Linked DNA regions of Mus musculus. The main gene of each other region encodes a partner of the protein of the gene in region 2 in a complex. Links are inferred from orthologs where the notes say so. Each region holds a gene or a part of one and is shown on either strand. Other genes may lie near its edges.

What was found.
Region 1: Cyfip2 (region 2) and Brk1 share a complex: the UniProt entries of both Homo sapiens proteins name them as parts of the WAVE1 complex. The link is inferred for Mus musculus from reciprocal best matches to the Homo sapiens genes CYFIP2 and BRK1.

Annotation. Positions count from the first base shown.
Region 1 is NC_000072.6:113,603,100-113,607,687, forward strand, and holds the start of Brk1 (protein BRICK1), read left to right. Parts: upstream 1-1,672; 5' UTR 1,673-1,679; coding exon 1,680-1,797; intron 1,798-4,588. UniProt on the Homo sapiens protein: Involved in regulation of actin and microtubule organization. Part of a WAVE complex that activates the Arp2/3 complex. As component of the WAVE1 complex, required for BDNF-NTRK2 endocytic trafficking and signaling from early endosomes.
Region 2 is NC_000077.6:46,309,388-46,313,836, forward strand, and holds the start of Cyfip2 (cytoplasmic FMR1-interacting protein 2), read right to left. Parts: upstream 2,972-4,449; 5' UTR 2,840-2,971; exon of another isoform or gene 2,548-2,839; intron 1-2,547. UniProt on the Homo sapiens protein: Involved in T-cell adhesion and p53/TP53-dependent induction of apoptosis. Does not bind RNA. As component of the WAVE1 complex, required for BDNF-NTRK2 endocytic trafficking and signaling from early endosomes.

The DNA.
Region 1 (4,588 bases), on a different chromosome or scaffold from region 2:
CTTTTATTCAGGCCAGACCTATTCAAACCACCACACATGGACTGACTAGACCATTGTTTGGACAAGCCTTCTTCTGCCTTAGTCTCTTGAGTGCTGAAATTATAAGCATGTACGACTACGTTCCTTTAACGATTTTTTTTTAATGAAACGATTAGGTAAAAAGGTTGGAGATTATTTTTGCAGTTCTTGATAGAAATGGAATGAGTTTACACTGTGACTTACCATTTTGCTTCAGCCGGTCCATCATTGGGTATTAGCATTAAAAATGTATTTGGCAGCTTGGCGTGGTGGCGCATGCCAGCACTCGGGAGGCAGAGACAGGCGGATATCTGAGTTCGAGGCCAGCCTGGTCTACAAAGTGAGTTCTAGGACAGCCAGGGCTACACAGACAAACCCTGATTTGGAAAAAGAAAGAAAGAAAGAAAGAAAGAAAGAAAGAAAGAAAGAAAGAAAGAAAGAAAGAAAGAAAGAAAGAAAGAAAGAAAGAAAGAAAGAGAGAAAGAAAGAGAGAGAGAAAGAGAGAGAGAAAGAGAGAGAGAGAGAGAGAAAGAGAGAGAAAGAGAGAGAAAGAGAGAGAAAGAGAGAGAAAGAGAGAGAAAGAGAGAGAAAGAGAGAGAAAGAGAGAGAAAGAGAGAGAAAGAGAGAGAAAGAGAGAGAAAGAGAGAGAAAGAGAGAGAAAGAGAGAGAAAGAGAGAGAAAGAGAGAGAAAGAGAGAGAAAGAGAGAAAGAGAGAGAAAGAGAGAGAAAGAGAGAGAGAAAGAGAGAGAAAGAGAGAGAAAGAGAGAAAGAGAGAGAAAGAGAGAGAAAGAGAGAGAAAGAGAGAGAAAGAGAGAGAAAGAGAGAGAAAGAGAGAGAAAGAGAGAGAAAGAGAGAGAAAGAGAGAGAAGAGAAAGAAAGAAAGAAAAGTATTTTGCTCATTTGGTAAATATGGAGATTCAGAGTTGGTGGGACACCTCGAACAATAAAGACACTGAAGCTGATGATCTGAGTGTTCAGTCCCACAAGATGGAAGGTGAGGAACCCACTCCTGCAAGTTGTCCTGTAACTTCCGCCCGCGTGTTGTGCCACGTAAGCGCTCACATATAATACGAATAAAATAATTTTAACCTGGCGGTGGTGGCCACATTTTTAATCTCAGCACTCCGGAGGGAAAGGCAGGCTGATCTCTGTGAGTTCGAGGCCAGCCTGGTCTACAGAGGGAGTACAAGGACAGCCAAGACTACACAGAGAGACCCTGTCTCGAAAAACAACAACAACAACAAATTTTAAAAGAAAACGAGAATGAACAGAGTTGTGACCCAAGCATGACAAGCATTCTGAATAAACGGGATTCGTGGACTGTGCCCATCACAGCTAACAAGGTGCAAGAGAGCTTGGAGCAACCCTTAGGCGGAGGTGGGAATGTGTGGGCGCCCCCTAACGACAAGATCCGCTAGTGGTCAGCGGGTGCTTGTAACCGGGGACAGGGTAGCTCTTAGTCTTCACATCGCGAGTGGAGGAATCTTGTTTACCCCAGCGTGGGAGCCAAGCTAGAGCGCAGGGATTAGAGTGCGCACGCGCGTCGCTCTGCCAGCCCTTTCTGGGGCTCGAACACTCGGGTACTGGCTGGCGGCGCAGGCGCGCTGGAGGCCTGTAGAGGTCGCGGCGCCTGCGCAGTCACTCTTCCTCAGGCGGCCGCCATGGCGGGACAAGAGGATCCGGTGCAGCGGGAGATTCACCAGGACTGGGCGAACCGGGAGTACATTGAGATCATCACCAGCAGCATCAAGAAAATCTCAGACTTTCTCAACTCTTTCGGTCAGCGGGCGAGCAGGGGAGGCTGGGAGGAGGGAGGCCTGGGAGGCGGCCGGCGGCGGGGAGGAGAGGCGCGCCGCCCTGGCTACTCGCTTCCTCTTTGGCTGCCCGCCGGCCCCAGTGCCCTCACCCCGAGCCTCACTGGGCCGTTTCCGAGGGTCTACCCTGCCCGTTGCCATGCCCCACTTGCGCTCGTCAGCACGCCCACTGTCCAGCCTCTTAGGCCCATCCATCATCCGCCCCGGTTTGCGCCGCGCTTCCGTGCCAGTCTTCACTTGGCAGGCAGTGCGCAGCCGTGTCACGGTCACGGTCGCGCTTACTGTTGAGAGACTCCTGCTCGTTGTCCATCTCCTTCAGGAAGAAGTCCGAACCCCTTTGATGTCATGCCTTCTATTGCTCCCGTTTAACCACTCCCGGCAGGTTCATTCATCCCCGGCTCGATTTGGTGCTAGTGCTGAGGGTTGTAAGGGATGGGGCCCGCTCGGGCCTTGGGAATGGCTTTTCTAGCCCTGTATCTGCTTCATGGTAGGTGCTCTGGATGCTTCTGTCTGGCTCCTCGGATTTTACAGGGCAGATGGTTTCAGCAGAGTCCACTTTTCCAAAAAACTATTCCTAGGTGTGGCCGGCTAGTGACAGTCTTGATTTCTTTCTGCGTGCGTTCCTAGCCTTCTGGACTGAAAACCTGTTACAGACTTCTTATGGTCTCCGGAAGGGTTCTTTCAGGGACCTTCTTACACAATACAAGACGTGCAGATGGCATCCAGTGATCTTTTTCACTAGAGTGCTTTGGTTCTACTAATTAGCAACTTTCAGCATCTTGGGGAGAAAGTGCTGTATTTTGAAAAAAATTAAAGTGAATCGTATATTTTCTAGCTAAAGACCCGATGAGTCCTAAGTAGTATGATAGAAGGTAACCGAACAGTAGCTTCAATTACGGGGTGTAGTTCAGGGATTGGGCTCCTGAGTGGTAAGCACAAGACCCCGGCATCCCCCACTTCTTAGAGTTTTCTTTCTCTCTCTCCTTTTTTTTCCTCCTTTTTTTGTGTTTTGTTTTGTTTTTTGGTTGGTTGGGGGTTTTTTGTTTTGTTTTGTTTTTGTTTTTTGAGAAAAGAGAACAAAAAGGAAATTGGAAATGCATCATTAAGGGGCAGGGGATGCCTAGTCTGTAGAGTATTGGCCTAGCACCCACACACCATGCCTTTAATAGCAGCACTCAGGATGCAGAGGCAGGAGGACCAGGAGGAACTCCCAAGTCATCTGCTTCATAGAGAGTTTTGAGTCCAGCCTGGTAGAGCAAAGCAAACATCAGCAGGCGTAATTGGTTCTTACACAGGTCTGCTGGCAGTGAGGAACATGGTAACCCTTCCCTGTTATATGTGGTGGCTCATACCTGTACTCTTAGCACTGGAGAGACAAGGGCTGGAAGAGTGCTATGCATTTGAGGCCAGCCTGGTCCTCAGAACAGCCACAGAAATGAGCCATTTTCTAGGGCTCGAGAGATTGCTCAGCTGTTAAAAGCAGTTCCAAAGAACCCAGGTACAAATCCCAGGACCCACGTTGCAGTTCACAGTGGTCCATAGCTCTAGTCCCAGGGGATATGACACACACACATAAAGGGAGACTATCAGTGTAAATAATAATACTAATCCATTTTCTGTATGTAGAGTTCTTTCAGGCTGTTGAGATGGCTTGGCAGGTAAAGGCCACCAACCTGAATACAATCCTCAGGGTCCACAAGGTGAAAGGAGAGAACCAGCTGTCACAAGTTGTCTTCTGGCCCCACATAGTGCATGCCCACACCCACCTTCAAATACAATAAATAAGAGATCTTAATCTGTCCATCCATGCTCCATGTCCCCTACTCCATTTTGCATTTTGGTTTTGAGTCTTGTAAATTGGTACAACTCATGGTTCTCCTTCCTCAACTATTTTTTCCCTCCCCCTCCTGAGATTATTACTGTCTGTCGCTCTGTGCTGGCCTGCAGCTCTACAGATCAGGATGTCCTCTAGTTTGTGATGGCCCTTTGGCTCTGCTTCCCAAGTGCTGGATTAGAAGTGTCCTTACGCACCCTCACGAATTCTCTCTCTCCCCCACCCTTCTCTCTCTGCCGCCACCTTCCTTGCCCCCCCCCCCAATAAACCTCTTACACGTGGGGAAAAAGAAGTATGCTCACAAAGTGTGTAGGATTCTGTATAATCTTACATGGATTTTCTTAACAGGGAGCGGAGGTTAAAGATACCAACTAATGAGAGGCCAGCATAAATGTATATGTCAGTGGTACAGCTTCACGCCCGTAAGTTTCTGTGGAGGTTATAGTAGAGAACTGTAGTCAGTAAAGAGTTCATGTGTCCCCAGAAGAATTAGATTTAAGGAGTATTAAAGGAATGTGATTCAATGACAAAGGCAGGTATGTTCGCAGGTAGACCTGATGGCTTTAGATGGCTTTTTACTGAATTAAAGCATTTTCCAGAACTGATCATTTGTCTTGCTACTCATAGTCAAGTTTTCCTGCCGAGGGTTTTGGTTTTGGCTCAGAATCTTTTGAGCACTCCAACAATTGTGCTTATTGAGTGTGTACCTTTTGTGTAAACTATTTCAGTGTTGGTTCACATAGTTTTCTCCTACTTTGCCAGAGAACTGAAATATTTCACTTTTTTTTCTTTTTTTTAAACTCTTGTAAAAAATGTTTTTAAAGATTTATTTATTTTATGTATATGAGTACACTGTAGCTGTACAGATGGTTGTGAGCCATCATGTGATTGTTGGAAATTGAATTTTAGGACCTCTGCTCGC
Region 2 (4,449 bases):
AACTGATCCAGCAGACCAAGTCCCCTTGAAAAAGCACGATTCAGGTAAGTCCCGGGAGTGAAGAGGTCCGAGAGGACCGTGAATTGACTATGCACATGAACCAAATTCTCGGCGATCGTGTAAATACTGCATCGCAGCAATAGGGGTATAAATAGGAGACCGATTGTGTGCCACACACTCTATTCAGAGCTTTCGTGCATCTTTCATTTAATAAGAACATCCAAAGATGCACTGGCCCCTCCCCCACCACAGCTGGCCTCCGAGTCACAGGATTCACAGTCTGCAAGGCACAAACTGCTGCCTTCCCCATCCACCAACCACCTCCAGCTACAATCGCCAAGGCCATTCGCCGGACCCTAGATATAGCTTTGCTTCTCAAATTGACAAGACCAAAGGCCTTTCACAAAGGCTCCAATGAGGTGACTGACATCTGGTTTCGTCAACTATAAGTGAATAATTAATACTTGCCAGTAAAGAAATAGACTCATTGTTATGGTGGCCACATGGAGGCTACAGAAAGAGCATTTTGTGAAGCTCTTGGTGGAACCCTGGGGCTAACAGTGGTCCAAAGAAGCCTCTTTGAGCATGGAGGCCGGGGCTGAGATGTGAGGACAGGAGCCCTATACTGTTTTCCAGCAATACTGTTCCCAATGCTAATTAGCCTGTTGCCTATTCATCACCTAATTTAGCTTTCAGGTCAATGGCAGCCTCAGAGGCCCAGTGACCACTGAGGGGGCACGATAATCGAAGGGTGCACTTCTGTTACCGGGGCCCTTGGCTAGCTGTTAAATTACTTCTCCATGTGATCTGATCTGAGCAAGAGTCTCCAAACCTGTGCCCCACCCCACCCCCCACTTCTGGCCTAATGCCTAACTCACGCTTTTTCTTTCCATTTTCCACCACATTAGGGAACAAGGCAGTCTTGGGTTCCTATACAACCAGTCAGAACTGGCCAGGAACTACAATAAAGAAGATTAGTGAGCTAATGCCACCGGCCTGGGGCTCAGCAAGCAGAAGTACCCAGGGGCACTGGCTTTGTAAGCAGCAGCGTGCTGTCTGTGGCTTCGTAACTGTCAGGGCAGATGGCAGCTAGCTCCAGTAAGGAACTCTCCATGGGCACATTTCACACCCCACGGGCAAGGAGAGACTGGTGATCAACAAAAGCCTTCTGCTGACAGTAACCCCTGACCCCTCTCTCTCTCTGCCTCTCTCTCTCTGCCTCTCTCTGCCTCTCTCTCTCTCTCTCTCTCTCTCTCTCTCTCTCTCTCTCTCATACACACACACACACACACACACACACACACACTCCTACAGTACTCCTGCCCACCAGGCCAAAGCAGCCCTGACAGAAAACGAAGCTGGCAGCTGCCACATAGGCCATTCTGACCACAGTATCAGTGCCACATCTAGCTTACATCGGAAAGTCAACCATTAGAGATAGCAAATATTTTGACTTCAGCTCTGCTTCCTATTAAAATGTCTCCTATCCTCGGCTTCCTTTCTGATCCCATGACTTAAGAAGCGCCTGCTCTACATCCAATGGGAAAACCTTTTGTATTTAGCTCTTCAAGATAAATACCACTCACTGGCTCCTTTCTCAAGCAAGTTTGACAGGAGAGAAGGGACCCAAGGAGCATCGGGTGGAGGGGGGGAAAGCCACAGAAGGGGGGATGGTGGTAGGGACAACTACCTTCAAGGACTTACAATCCCGACTATAGATATTAATCTATATTTTTGTCCTCCGACAATGGCGGGAGGGGGGGGTGTCACTGAGTGCTAGGCAATGGTTCTTGCAGGGCCTGTGCCCAAGAATAAGGCTGGTCACTTCTAAGGGAAGGGGTCAAGAGGTAGAAATGGTTGCTTAGGAGCAACAGTCAGTCGTCAGTCTGATCCCTAAGTCTTCCTGCCCAACTGTGGGGCTGTGGGCACTAAAGAATTGGGCTAGCCAAGTTCTAAGTCTGGACTGGAAAACACCCAGATAGTCGCGGGAGAAAACCAACAGTCGGTTCAACCATGCTCCCTGCCCCCACCCTTAGCCACAAGCTACTCCTCTTCCTGTACACACAGGAGGGCTTACCTTCCTGAAGGTGATGTGGCAATCTCCCACAACAGACAGGTGGGCAGCTAAATACGAAGGAAACCTTGACCCCTAGGATTCCATCACCCCACCTTTCTCCTCCCCAAAGCCATCCAGGGGAGAGGCGCTAGTATAGGCCAGAACGCTTCGAAGCAGGTCAGCCATGCCTCCCGGCTCATCAGAGCTTTCCTCTCCCAAACCGTGCCGCTGTGGCCCCGGCCCCACCCGGCTTCGGTTCACCGCGGGCGCCCAGTACCCCCTTGCCTGTCAGGCGGGCCCAGGCAGCTCTCTCTGGCCTTGGCTGAATGATGGTGGCCGCGACCGCAGAGGCGGGGACTGCCCGGCGATCTGCAGTATGTAGGTGCAGGGATGTAGCCCCCTCTGGGCTTGTGGCCCCTGCAGGTATCCCTGGTCCCCGAGACTATCCCTGCCTCTTTTTAGGGCGGGTGGCTCCGGCCCAGGCCACGCACCTGCTGTGGCTGCCGCTGAGGCTGCTGCGCGGAGCTCTGCGCTGTACCCACGACTTCTGGAAAACGCTCCCTGCCCAGGGCGCCCGGGGCGGCCGAGGGGAGAAGGGACAACACAGGCCTGTAGCCCGGCCTCCAGGGACCTGAAGCCGTGTAGCCTCGGGCGCCAAGCCAAGCGCCCCCAACGGGCTGGGAGAAGTGGCGCCCGCCCCTCGCGCATCCTCAGGAACGCATCCACCGCCTAGGCAGCATTTCGGTTCCTGCATCAGCCCTGTTGTCTCCGAGAGTCCCTTACCTGGCTCGGTGGCAGGTCCAGGGGAGGGACCCGAGGCTACCGCAGGGCCCCGCGCCGGGGCGCAGGATGCTTAGCCCCGCTCCGCCGCTGCGCCGGCGGACCGCCGCGCCCCGCCCGCGGCCCCGCCTCTCCGCCTGCCGCGGCTCCTCCCCTGGCCGCGGTGCCCAGCCCCTTCGCCGCGGCTGCTGTCACACAAAGAGCCGGAAATGGCTGCGGCGAGGGGCTCCCTGCGCACCCCTGACCTGCAACCTCCTGAACCCATACCTTCCAGCCTTAGAGTATCCAGCCTCCGGACTCTGGAGGTGGAGGAGGGACGACTTTCCTGCTGCCGCCTGCATCACCAGCGACACCTGCCACTCCAGAAGGAAGGAAGCGTCAGCTCCTTTCGCATCTCCCCGGTGTCAAATTATTTTCATATAGTCATTTATTCACCACATCTTTATCGACTACCTGTTTTGTTCCAAGCATCTTGCCAAGAGCCAGGCACGCACTAGTGTGCAGTAGAGCCCCTGCTCGCTTGGAGCTTATTATTTGCCAGCATTAACTGACCTAACAGGAGTCCAATGACAGCTGCTTTCCCAAAGAAGGGAGCAGGCTAAGTGAGAGGTTGAGCCCTTCCACCACTTGAAGAATAACTTCCCAGAGGGCACGGGCTCAGAGGGCACGGGCTCAGAGGGCACAGGCTCAGCGGGAGAAAGCGCTTGCAGCCAAGCTTGATGATGACCTGAGTTCGATTCCCAGGATCCACAAGGTAGAAGGAGAGAGACAGCTTCTGTATATTGTGTTCTGACCTCCACCCACATGCATATATGCACATTACACAGACACACAGACACATACACACACCCATACACACACACAATAAATAAATGTAATAATTTAAAAACAAAGAGAAACATCTACTTCCTTTCCATTTCTTAGTGTAAAAATGTACAGCTATTATGTGTGTGTGTGCGTGTGTGTGTGTGTGTGTGTGTGTGTGTGTGTGTGTGTGTGCGCGCGCGCGTGCCCATGTCGATCCCATTGAGGTAGAATTGACTCGTGGACAAAATCATGATAAGCTGACTTTTAGGCAAACCTAGGAAGGAGCTGAGGAGACAGAAGCCTCTTAGATGCTGCTTAGGGCTCTTCAAAGAATCCATTGCTCCTTGAGACATAACTCGGAGGGCTTTAGGTAGGGATGAGGCCAGCTGCATTCAGTCCTGACCTGAACCCACCCCAGCATGGTACTGCTCTGAGTGGGAGATGCAGTACCTGCAATAAAGGGAATAATAGTTGCTCTGGGTACCATATATATATATATATATATATATATATATATATATATATATATATATATATATATATATGTGTGTGTGTGTGTGTGTATGTATATAAAGTATTTATTTTATTCTGTGTGTATGGGTATTTTGATTGCATGCACATATATGTGTACCGCATGCATGCCTGGTGCCAAGAATAATCTGGAACTGGAGATACAGATAATTGTGAGATGCCATGTAGGTACTGGGAATTGAACTCAGGTCCTCAAGAGGAGTAGCCACGGCTCCCAACTGCTGAGCCATCTCTCCAGCCTGCCCTCTTAGGGGAACTAATTGGAAAGTACTTGA